Yarrowia lipolytica: one gene and its partners. The protein of the gene in region 2 binds, or shares a complex with, the protein of the main gene of each other region. Links are inferred from orthologs where the notes say so. Each region holds a gene or a part of one and is shown on either strand. Other genes may lie near its edges.

What was found.
Region 1: YALI1_E00318g (region 2) and YALI1_D12750g share a complex: the UniProt entries of both Schizosaccharomyces pombe proteins name them as parts of the mitochondrial large ribosomal subunit. The link is inferred for Yarrowia lipolytica from reciprocal best matches to the Schizosaccharomyces pombe genes mrpl10 and mrpl23.
Region 3: YALI1_E00318g (region 2) and YALI1_F09896g share a complex: the UniProt entries of both Schizosaccharomyces pombe proteins name them as parts of the mitochondrial large ribosomal subunit. The link is inferred for Yarrowia lipolytica from reciprocal best matches to the Schizosaccharomyces pombe genes mrpl10 and mrpl15.
Region 4: YALI1_E00318g (region 2) and YALI1_F23351g share a complex: the UniProt entries of both Schizosaccharomyces pombe proteins name them as parts of the mitochondrial large ribosomal subunit. The link is inferred for Yarrowia lipolytica from reciprocal best matches to the Schizosaccharomyces pombe genes mrpl10 and mrpl38.

Annotation. Positions count from the first base shown.
Region 1 is NC_090773.1:1,273,188-1,276,159, reverse strand, and holds YALI1_D12750g (mitochondrial 54S ribosomal protein uL13m), read right to left. Parts: upstream 1,103-2,972; coding exon 1,082-1,102; intron 1,007-1,081; coding exon 563-1,006; downstream 1-562. Other genes in the region: YALI1_D12760g (uncharacterized protein), read right to left, coding at 1-83. UniProt on the Schizosaccharomyces pombe protein: Component of the mitochondrial ribosome (mitoribosome), a dedicated translation machinery responsible for the synthesis of mitochondrial genome-encoded proteins, including at least some of the essential transmembrane subunits of the mitochondrial respiratory chain.
Region 2 is NC_090774.1:30,299-33,214, reverse strand, and holds YALI1_E00318g (uncharacterized protein), read right to left. Parts: upstream 1,366-2,916; coding exon 574-1,365; downstream 1-573. Other genes in the region: YALI1_E00337g (uncharacterized protein), read left to right, coding at 1-134; YALI1_E00306g (uncharacterized protein), read left to right, coding at 2,543-2,916. UniProt on the Schizosaccharomyces pombe protein: Component of the mitochondrial ribosome (mitoribosome), a dedicated translation machinery responsible for the synthesis of mitochondrial genome-encoded proteins, including at least some of the essential transmembrane subunits of the mitochondrial respiratory chain.
Region 3 is NC_090775.1:987,733-990,810, reverse strand, and holds YALI1_F09896g (mitochondrial 54S ribosomal protein mL57), read right to left. Parts: upstream 1,185-3,078; coding exon 561-1,184; downstream 1-560. UniProt on the Schizosaccharomyces pombe protein: Component of the mitochondrial ribosome (mitoribosome), a dedicated translation machinery responsible for the synthesis of mitochondrial genome-encoded proteins, including at least some of the essential transmembrane subunits of the mitochondrial respiratory chain.
Region 4 is NC_090775.1:2,333,541-2,336,078, reverse strand, and holds YALI1_F23351g (mitochondrial 54S ribosomal protein uL14m), read right to left. Parts: upstream 957-2,538; coding exon 567-956; downstream 1-566. UniProt on the Schizosaccharomyces pombe protein: Component of the mitochondrial ribosome (mitoribosome), a dedicated translation machinery responsible for the synthesis of mitochondrial genome-encoded proteins, including at least some of the essential transmembrane subunits of the mitochondrial respiratory chain.

The DNA of each region.
Region 1 (2,972 bases), on a different chromosome or scaffold from region 2:
AACCGCTGGATGATTTTGTATTTCGGCTCGACCGACATTGGTGATGGTGATAATGAAGCGATTGGGTTGCAACTTAAACCCATGATGTGAGCAACCCGATTTTGAAAGAACCGAGTACATTGTGCCCTAGAACGAATGAGGATGAAAGGAATAGAGGGGTAGTATTATTAGACGCTGACTAATCGATTGCCCCTATCAAAATCTGTCTACTTCTCTTCTCTTGTATAATTAACTGCTTCTTGTTGTGTCCGTGCTCACGTATTACTAATACCCATCGTCTGAAGTCTGATCTGAGACGCTATAACATGTCAAACCATCCAGAGGCGATGATACTATAGTTGATAAGTACTGTATAGCAGGAACAGCAACAGAACCATTGTATGTTATTACAAATGCTCACGTGATACTTCAAACACCCCAGTTGGCTACAAGTTCCGGTACAAGTTCAAGGGATCACCTACTGCTCCTAAGCCCAGACCAGAGCTCCAACACACCCTATTCCGCCCCGTTTAAGTCATATCAACATTCTTATGCTCTATATACAAAGTTCCGTTTCCTCCATTTAATCCTTCTTGACCACAACGCCAGCCTCGTCATGGTAGGCCACGAGGTTCTGCTTGTAGGGATGCTCGGTGCCCTCAAAGACCTTGAGCCGGGCGATTCGGCCCCGCTTGAGCTTGTTTCGGGGCAGCATACCGGCAACGGTTCGTCGCAGAACCTCGCTGACTCCCTGGTTCTCAATCACTCGCTTGACAGCCACATGGTGAGAGTGACCAGGCTGAGACGACTGCACAAAGTATTCCTTCTGCTGCAGCTTGGAGCCCGAAAATCGCAGCTTGTCGGCGTTCACGACAACCACATAGTCGCCGCAGTCGTGGCCGGTGTTGTACACGGGCTTGTGTTTACCCTGGAGAGTCTGGGCGATGGAGGTGGCCAGTCGACCAAGGGTTCGCTGCTCCTTGGCCACGTCCACAAAGTGCCAGGTTCTGGAAAAAGCCAGACGTGCCTGGGTTAGTAAGAAAACAAGGGTATGTTGACGATTTGCTCAGAAGACACCTGCTTCCGCCGCTCAAATACTCACTTTACCAATAGTCTGTGACATGTTGATTCGTGATGGTGTGTGAAATTTTCGAACGTTAATTTGAGCGGGATGAGGGTTGTGGGAGGAGATGAGTAAGCAACTTTATTCGGGAGTATGGCGATAGACAGTAGTACAAGTACAAGTATGAATACGAGAGCTTCCAGGAGGAGATGAACTGAGAAATGAGCTGATGGCCTGTGAAGAAGCCCTTCTGATGCCACGTCATTGTTTTGTGGTCCAAATGAAGCTGTTGGAAGGAAAATGATCCTCATAGCTGGATCGATAACTTCAGGAGAGCTGAGAGATATAAAAGATGGATATTGATGGAATACATCGGGGTTCTGTTCTGAGTGCAATGGTATTGTTGTTGGTGTCTTTTGATTAGCTAATCACCAACTTATACTCCAGTCGGTCAGTTGTATTTGACGCCTTAAGATTGTCTGTTGATACATTTAGAACTGGGTCATGATCTCGACGGAGAATGGCAATCGATTTTTGTGAGATGGTTAAGTACTCATACTCGTACTCGTAATATGTTGGATTTCCTTTTTTTTTTTTTTTTTTTTTTTTTTTTTTGGTCAGGAAGAGTTGCAGGTTTCTTTTATGTTGGAGAGGGTCCGTCTTTTTTTAGAACCAAAAAATCCAGTTAATCGACCTTTTTTAAACCTGCCTTTGTGTGTTTTGTTGTTGGATTCTTATTTTAGAATATGGGGGAGGAAAAAAAAAAACGAGACAAACAAGCTAATATAAAAATATATATACTGTATATATATTGTTGTATATATACTGTAATGTATATATATAATATATACATAAAAAAATTGCAACCAGTCACCCCCTTTTAAATATCGGAATTTGTACCAGGCCAAGTCCACCTATCATCAGTGATTAATAGCACCAAATTAATTCTGACGCCTCAGAAATGCGGCCTCCATTTGGCTGGGTAAGACATTGGTGAGGCAGGAGAGGAGATGTTAGCCAAGGCGAGGGGAGAGGACACGGTTTTATGTGACGTACTGTACCCGAGGTGCCATGGGGGCTATCATGGAGGGTATAGAGGTTGTTTGAGTGGTCGCGTTAATGGTGGCGGGGTTCCTTCTCTATGTTTTTTCGTCGTATCTACTCCGAAATTGCTATATCATGGTCATTCTCACTGCCGCGTTAGTTCACAGGTGGGAGGTGTAGTTTTTCAGATTTTTTCAGATTTCGTCTTGTCTTTCTGCAGCAACGAAACGCCGAACAAGGGCCACCCAGAAACCCAGTTTACGTGCAGTTGGTCCGTCTAATCGGGAACGGTATCCGCAAGAGACAAGAGGCTGCGCCAAGTGATTGGTCATCGCAAATCGGGTGTGGAAAACTGGAGATGTAGAAGCGTCAACTCGTGCCGGTGGTGGTAACATTCTAGAGGTGGAGCCGGTGGCGGAGCCACTGTCGTATAATGGAGATAAAGTCACGGCTCGTAAATCACACTTTGGGAAGACGGTGCTCAGTCGCCGGATCGCACACGGCTGTTCCGACGCTAGATAAGAGTCATAAGCTTGTCAGTAACGGTCTCCGTGGGGGACAATGGAGGACCAAAAAGCCGACGGAGTGAACTCGGGGGGAAAGTGGGGGTCTCCAGTGAAAATTCCGTCTTCTAACAGCTCGAAACAGCTCCCCAACGACTACAAAGCACAACTAAGGGCCCAAAATAAAGTGTGTCAAAAACCGACGTAAAAAATAGGATGCAACAAAGTCAAAATGCAAAAACCCAAAATACGCGGCCGCAACGGCAAGTATGAGGAATCCTCCGAGCGTCTCAAAAGCACTGGGATACTCAGGATGCAGACCATGCCAAGCGAGGTCAAAGCGTCACAGCGAGCGACCCCGCTCCGCAGTCGCTCCGTTATCG
Region 2 (2,916 bases):
ATATTGACTTGTCAGACTTTACTCAGGTCCGATCTGCCATCAAGACTGCCGAGGTATCTGAGCTGGCTGATAACCTGCTCCAGAAGCGACGAGAGTATTGGGCTGCTCAAGGAAAGGTGCCCAAGCTGAACTAGAGTGGGGGAAGATGGAATCGATACCAAAAAGGCTATGCATGTAACATTATTAATCTTCAAATACAGAATGTGCTTGTACAGTATGTACATTAATAATCGGTAAGGTTGGCTCATGATTGGCTAGGCGGATAATGATCCAGCTGTAGGTGAATTGGAAAGAGTGCGATGGTGCGAGAGTACTTGTACTCACAAATTGTATCGTGAGCTAAGTGGCTGTAAAATGTGACGCATATTCTAAATCCGTTCGTTGTTTGTATTTGTCAGAGTGTGGTGTCCAATGTCTTACGACTGCACGCTGAGACTGGTACAAGGTCTATATGAAACAACCCCAGTCAGGCTATACATATGAGAGACTCAAGCCCCAACGTGCTAATACTATTCCCGTAGCATTACTCCTTCTCCTTTCCGTTATCAATATCATATACTATATACATTCGTTTTACAAGACCTCGATTCCGTTGTTGTTGAAACCGGAAGCCACGTTGGAGCTGGAATCCTTGAGAGTCTTGATTCGCTCTTCCCAGCCGGGCTTGGTAGTTCGCTTGACGGCGGTCTTGGTGTACTTGGGTCGCTCGTAGCCCACCAGGTAGCCTCGGTTCTCGGGGTTCATGTAGTACTCCACGTCCTTTCGCCGCAGAGGATGGGGCTGCTTGGGGATTCGACCAGTCTTGTCGAGCAGTCGCTTCTCGTTGAGCTCGATCTTGAGACCCACGGGCGAGTAGTACTTGGCGGTGAACTTGCCTCCGGCAGCCTCGATCTGCTCAATAGCAGCCTGGGAGGCCTTGTTGGAAGTCAGGTCGATCTTTGCGGTGAGAGGCACGTCTCGTCGGGCGAAAATCTTGATTCCGAGCTTGGAAGAGCACAGACCAGACAGAACCAGGTCTCGAACGCCCAGGGGCTTAGAGGCATCAAGTCGGCCATCGTTGATCCACTTCTGAATGTCGGAAACAGACACTCCGACAAACTTCTCACGTCGAGGAATGGACAGCTTGGGGTATCGCAGATACCATCGCTGCTGGTGACCGGAGAAACCCAGAGGAATACTTTCTCGGGACTTCTGACCCTTCTGTCCTCGCTTGGAGGTCTTACCTCGCCCAGACTGCACACCTCGACCCACCTTCTGGTTGTTCTTGTGGTTGATGTCCTTGAGCTTAGTCATGACCATGGACGAGTACGACCGGGTTCCCGTGGGAACAACCAGGCTGGTCCACTTCTTCATAAGCGCGTTCATTGTGGGTGGTGTTTTGTACCTATGTCGGATGCTCGATTTTTCAACCTACACACCGTAGTGTAAATTTGCAACTTTATTTTAGACCATACCGAATGTACGAACGGTGGTCAATTTGAGGGTGTTTTTGTGAGAAAAGGGGTAAATTTCTTTGAGGAAATCCAAATTTCTGCTTCTCATCAGTATATTTCCCAGTTTTCACATCTGAAATATTTGTGCAAGACACTTGAATGACACTCCTAAATACCTCATACCGCTGTAAGTAAATACCATACTGATTAGTAAGCATTTGATGTGCGACCAACTCTGACTACTTGTACTGACTTTTTTTCAGTCTTAAGAACATGCCCGCTATTAGTGTTTAATCAGGTATCTGGCTCTTCCGCCACGTTGTTAAACCCCTATAACAACTCAGACACACCTGCATCTTCTAAACACACGATACAGTAGACAGTAGGTACATACATATGTGGAGAGAACCTTCACTTCACACTCTATCTCATCTGAGACCAGTACTTCATACCCATTACTCATACCAAGGCCCAATTGTAGATGGGTATTCCTGGATACTATACGCAATTGAAGTCGCTCTATGTGCGCAAACAGCTGAAGGAGTTTGCCGATGGCCGGGTCTTCATCGATGGTCACTCCATGAGCCATATGGTGACTGAACGATGTATGCCTGGTGCCAAGTACGATCTTAGGGCAGTGAGGTGTCACATGGAAGTCGTGCTCAGAAAGTGGCTTCTAGCCGGGTGGAAAATCGAGATGATTCTGTTCGATGGATTGACTCCATTATCAAAGTTCAAAGAGACTGAGAGACGACGAGATATCCGAGTCAAAGAAGGAATAGAGGCAAAGTCGTTCTGTCTCCCAGCAGGATGCGCAGATGTGTGTTCAGATACCATTCTGACAGAGTTTCCAGACATTTCTTGTCGAATTGCCCCCGGTGAATGCGATGATATACTCGCCACTCTGGTGTACAACTATGCTACACAGAACCCTGGTAAGCCAACCTACGTCATGACGAACGACACGGATTTCTGTGCGTTTGACTTTCCCGACAATGTTGTCATCCTCAACACGTCTGTGTTTGGAATCGACGCAGGTGTCATCAATACCCTGAACCCTGCCAAAGTTCTCAAGGAGCGGTTCGATCTGTGTCCTAGTCTAGCAGGGTATGGAGCCATGGAATTCACTAAGCTTAAAAGTGTGGTTGAAGGACGATGTGGGGTACAAGAAGTTTGCCGAGTCTCAAATGGCCATTCTACAGAGGTTCAGTTTCGGGTCGGCACAGGATTACATCCAAGATGAGCATGCATCACGGGTATACAGGCTGCTATCAAATACAAATGAGAACAACGCGCACCGAGTGGCAAATGCGTGGTTCGACTATGGCCAGCTATATACATTTCTACAGATTCTATGCGAGCCCGAGGAAGCCGAATACGCATTTGATGCTGGCAGGAAATGGCGATCTGTGGCATACGACTTGATTCTTGAGAAGATAGGTGCAGAGCCCACTGAGGATCAGTTTCAAGAGCATGGCAGAAA
Region 3 (3,078 bases), on a different chromosome or scaffold from region 2:
AATATCTGGTCTGTTTCTCTCAACTATCTGCTGAGTAACTGTAGTATATATATCGAACCTCTCAGTAGCTGTTGATGAAAGAAACGCGGGCCACAAATGACTCTGTTGATCTTGCGGAAATCACTTAGGTGATAATTAGTGATATTGCCGAGGCTACCTTGTGTGTGATTCTGCGTCTCAATTCTTGTACGTGACATCTCAGTCTGACCTAGGTCACGTGCACCAATACTACAGGTAGACTATCGATCCACCTCTATGGCAGTGGGGACATCTTCTGCTGACATTGCGATTCAGGTTATATGTTGCTTTGGAAGGATCCTTTTGGTATATGCGTTCTCTTACTACAGTATGTTCGATAGTAATCTGGTGATGCTCCTACCCTCTTGTATTACAACACATCGACCTGCCGATCTGACACTCATACCTACTGATCTGGCTGTGTCTCTATCCACGCTCGTTTGCTGGTTGGCTTTGATTGTTCATTCAATGCATTCATCATTCACATTTGCTATGTGCTTCACACTTGGTTGGTTGGTGTGCATCCCCTCATATATACAAGTTTAATTCTGCTGGACCACCTTCTGGGCGAACTCATGGGCGGCCTTCTCGCCCTTCTTGAGGAGAATAGCGCCCACCAGGGCGTAGACGGATCCGCTGGTGATCTTTGATGAAGGAGTGGCGTTCGTGACTCCCTTGGTGTTCCAGTAGACGAGTTTTTCGAGGCCGTTTTTTGCGGCAAACCCAGACAGATCAAAGTTGAGCGACTCCAGAGCCTTGACGGGGTCGCTTGAGGCCTCCTTGGACAGGTTGTGAGAGAGAACCGAGACTGGGAAAAACTTTCGGCCCACAAACGCCAGTTTTTCGTTGTGAGAGGGCAGTCCGCCAGCAAAGGACTTGTGTGTGAGCACCTGGAGCAGCAGAGAGTCCTCCAGGCCGCTGACGGAGTCCGACAGGGACGATTTCAGAGCATCAATCTCCTTTTTGGATTCGGACAGACCATAAGGACGGGTCGAGTCCTTGGCCAAAACGTCCAGAGTCACGGGACCCTGCAGAATCGCCGAGCGGGGGATTCGGCGCTGCTGGTACGACAATTGCCGGGTGAAAAGACGGCCAAACATGGTGGGTGTGCTGTTTGTGGAACTCTGCAACGTGAGTGTGTATCTGTGCTTGTGTGAAAATTTCATGTAGGGTAAGTGGATAAGGTTTGGGACCTGAGAAGGGACGACTGCTTGGGGGGTGAAATGTGAGAGGGTGGTGAGTTCGATTCTCGGTGGTGTCTTGTGGGAAATGTTGGAATACCGGTGCCAGAGGAGTAGAAGTTGTAAAAAGGGGTGTAAAATGAAAGGGAAAAATGGGCATACAATTTTCTTGGAAATATTTGAGTTTACTGGAGCTGATTTGAGTGACTTGTTGTAATGTTGATAGACGAGGTATTCAACTAGAGTCCAAGTACAGTGAAGCTAACTAACGAAGACCAGGAGTGAGAGATGATCTGGTATCGGACTGATCCAAGCGATAATGAGACCTTTACACGACATAAACAAAAACCTCGAGTGGGATATCTATAATGACTACAAGTATCGGTACAGTACATTCTCGTATGATACATCTTGTACAGTGTACTTGTACATGCACATGATGGTTATCGATAGTACATTTCGGACAACTTCTGCATAGAATATTTCTAACAATTATACATAGAAAAAGGAGGATAAATACTAGAAATCTGTTCATAATGAATCTCAGATTGATTAGGACAACTATACCGTTCCCCCACATGACAATACAAGTGCTCTTACCATATCTATGGTCGCTGTCTTTGTCTGTAGATGTATGTACTGGTATATGAAGGTCCTAAACCAATGGTTGCTACTGTACTTGGGGTATATACAACTGATTTTGTATTCATCAATAATATTATCGTATTTTTCATTATATTTTTCTCGTTTTCATTTCTCATGAGTGATTGAACACGGGCATACTTGTTCGGTAGCTACTCGTACTCGTATTCGTACTCGTATTCGTAATTAGTATCTGGAATTCACGACAGTGTATGTAGCGGAGGTTCCAGGTGTGAGCTATGTTAAATCTTGAGGACAAGGAGGTCAGCATGTATGATTAGCTCACATCTCACAGCAGCTTCTCAGCTAGTGCTGCCAGGTTACTGACACCACAAATGGGGCACGAAACTTCCCCACCATCTTTGCTGTTGTGAATAGGTGGGATGCAGGTAGTACTGCCTTGCGAGGTTTTCTTCAGACTGCTTATCGGCCAGAATCATTTCCGTATCGTCAGGTTTACAGATCTTGCGATGAGTGTACAGCTCGTCAATGTACACCTTGTCCATACACAGGGTGCATGTTCCGGAGCGTCTCACCGGTGGGTCGTGGTTCATGTTGGTAGTGTTGGTATTTCGCATCGTGTGTTACGGAAAGATAGAGGGGGGAGGGGACCCATGTCTTTATATATCTTTGCAGACGTGATAATACGCGACCATCACATGAGGTTTGCCAACTGTCCGGATGCATGATATCCAGTGGCAAAGGCGTGGTAAAGAGACCTAAGACACCAACTGGTGTATCAAGGAAGACTGAGCAAGAACATAACGGAGAAACCCCAGAGAGATGACGACGCAAAAAATCTGGGAGATGATAACCACCACAAACTCCATCAAGACCACCACAAACGTCTCGTCCGACACAAAACAATGGGTCCACAACCACGACACTCGTAATTATCGTGTGTTTGCTGAACCTCTTTTGGGTGCTGTCAGCCCATGTTGTGTCTTGTGATACGGAGCAAAGAGGGAATCTAAAGGGGAATCTAAAAGGGAGACTATTTACCCCGGATTAGCAACCCTCAGAAACACAGAAACACGTCCTTTTGAAACGATCCCCGGGACGAGCCAGCGTATTTCAGACATGGGGCCACTGGTTCTGTGTCACTAGTGTCGGTGCAAGTTTCAATTTTCTTTTTGTCGCCTGAAAACCGCAGTATTTTGACCACAAGGATCGTTGGAGACCGCGTGGTTCGGCATTTGAAAAACGTCATGTGACCACACGTTCCTTTGTCTAGAAA
Region 4 (2,538 bases), on a different chromosome or scaffold from region 2:
CGGTGGAGGGATAGGTGGCGGAGACCAAGTTGAGCTGTAACACAGGGGATTGGGAAGGGCGTGTGAGACTTTGTCTCATAAAATGGAGGAGGTCTGACGTTGGTTGGTATGGGGTGGAGATGACATTTTGAGGGCATACGACGATAGCTATGAGATTCTCTACTTGATCAAACACCGTCTTCTAGAACGGAACCTCAAGTTGATACAAACAAGAGTTGCTCCTTATCTCGAAATAGCACTTTGACATGTTATTTCTGGATGGCTGAATCTATGATGGAGTACAATAGTGACGAAGTAAGATAGTGATGAAGTATGGAGGCAAGCTCTATCCCCACAGAACAAGTACATACGGTACAAGTATTCGTACGAGTGCTGTAACTACATCTGTGACAACATTCATTCATTATCTATAATCATCGATAAATTACTTTCTTGGGCTTACTTGTACTCGCACTACAACCACTCCTTGTTTCCAAGCTACCCATCCCACACTACAGCTTGTGAATACCAAACATTTAAATACTATATACAAGCCATGGTTACGGTACGGGTACGGTAAGCACAGATTACAAGACTCGGGGAGCCAGAGAAGCGACCTTGGTGAAGCCTCGCTCTCGCACCTCCTTGGCAACGACTCCGTTGAGTCGGTTACCCACGGGCTCGTTGGCGTCGTTGATCAGCACACAGGCGTTGTCATCAAACTGGATGTAGGAGCCGTCGGGTCGTCGGATCTCCTTCTTGGTTCGCACAATGACAGCCCGCTTGATTTCACCCTTTCGGGCCTTCTGGGTGATGGAAGAGCCGTTAGGAATGGGTCGGGCCCGCTTGACGACACAAACAATCTTGTCGCCGACACCGGCGTAGTTCTTGGGTGACTTTCGCAGCACCTTGATGCACTCGACCAGCAGAGCACCAGAGTTGTCGATGCAGTTGATCAGAGACTTGAGGTACAACATGGTGAGTGAGGTTGTGTGTAGTTGTGTTAGATCCTAACTGAGATGTTGAAATCTGGGTGAAAAGTTGGATTCTCGAAACCTTAAATGACAGTGTGTATGAGCAGAGCATATGACTAAGGAGGGCGACAATTAGCGGAGCCCTGGAAGAGGATTAGGTCATGTGAGTTTTTTCCAGGTATTAATAATATAAAGCGCCTATTGAATATAATTGCCTGTTGAGATTGTGGGTTTGTCACTTAAATGGGGATGAGATCCATAAGTGAGATGTATGCTAAGAATTTGGGAAAAGAGTTGGCCAAAAAAAGTGGAACTTTGTTACAGTATTGTAGAGATCAGAAACATGAAGGAGTATGATACAGCATGGGTTCCAGACATGCTGGAGATAGGCTGTAAAATACATTGAGTACCAATTGGTCAGCTGAATTGATCCCGCTTACTAAAATTCAACCAATATACCTAACAAGTGGTTCCACTATCATATACTGGAACGTGCCAGCTATGTCAAGCTGGTACAAGTACGAGTACAGTATGTACAGTACCTGTAGCGCAGCTAAGCCACCGGAGCCGACGACACTCTTGCATCTCAAATATCTAAATCTCCACGGAACCAATCACTCTTGGTGATCATGATGTCATTGTAGGGTGTGTAAGTGTTTTCAGTACGAAGGGAAACGCCAGACACTAACTACAAGTACTGTACTTGTAGTGTTTCTGCTTCAGTTATCTCGCCTCGTTCTCTCTCAGCCCACGTGACTTGAAATACAGCCTCGGAATCCAGCGCCAATCAATCCTCAGCTCGACCAAACCCCGCGCCACGCGTAGATCACGTTAGTACAAGCGCATTTCATTTTACACGAATCTCGCAGTGCGTAAATACAGTTCGGAGCTTGTGAAGCCATGTCAACAACCAATAGTTGGGGTTGTATATAGGCGCGAGGGTAGATGACGTGAACAGCTTGCTTATAGGGTACTGTCAAATCCTCCGGGAGTATCTCTGATCTTCTTCCATATCACCTCAAACCCCTGACCATGTATGCTGTATGCTGTTTTCTCATTCCACTGTGTCTGACATCCACTCATATTTGCTGTGTTGGGAGAGCCAGCCAACCTTGTTTGCTTATCCCTGTTTTTCCAACTCAGCCTGTGGGCCTGTTTTTTCCAGAATTTAAACACACATTCCATGTGTAAATAGAGTGACTTGCGAGGTGATCGAGATATGGAATTGATGTATGGCACGTCCGCTGGATCGCAGAATTGCAATGGATCTATATCAGAGCACGTGCCATTGCTCCATAAAGACCAAAAGTGGACACTTTACCAGCGCGCCATTTATTTTAGCGGCTCTAAAAAGGACCCCCCTCCCTCTTCCGTGTCTCTCGGTTAGCTCATTGCTTACCAAAAGGGTAGCCAAGCAATAGTTCATGTAATGTGAACAGGTGGATTTATGCGCATGTTGCAGCGTACTGTGACATTTTCTCAAGGGGGCCGAAGAGGGTGTTTCGGGGACCAAAAAGAGGCGGGAAAGTCGCTGGATTAATCACGTGACCACGAACTTGGGTGGTGCCTTCTCAAATCCCCGCTC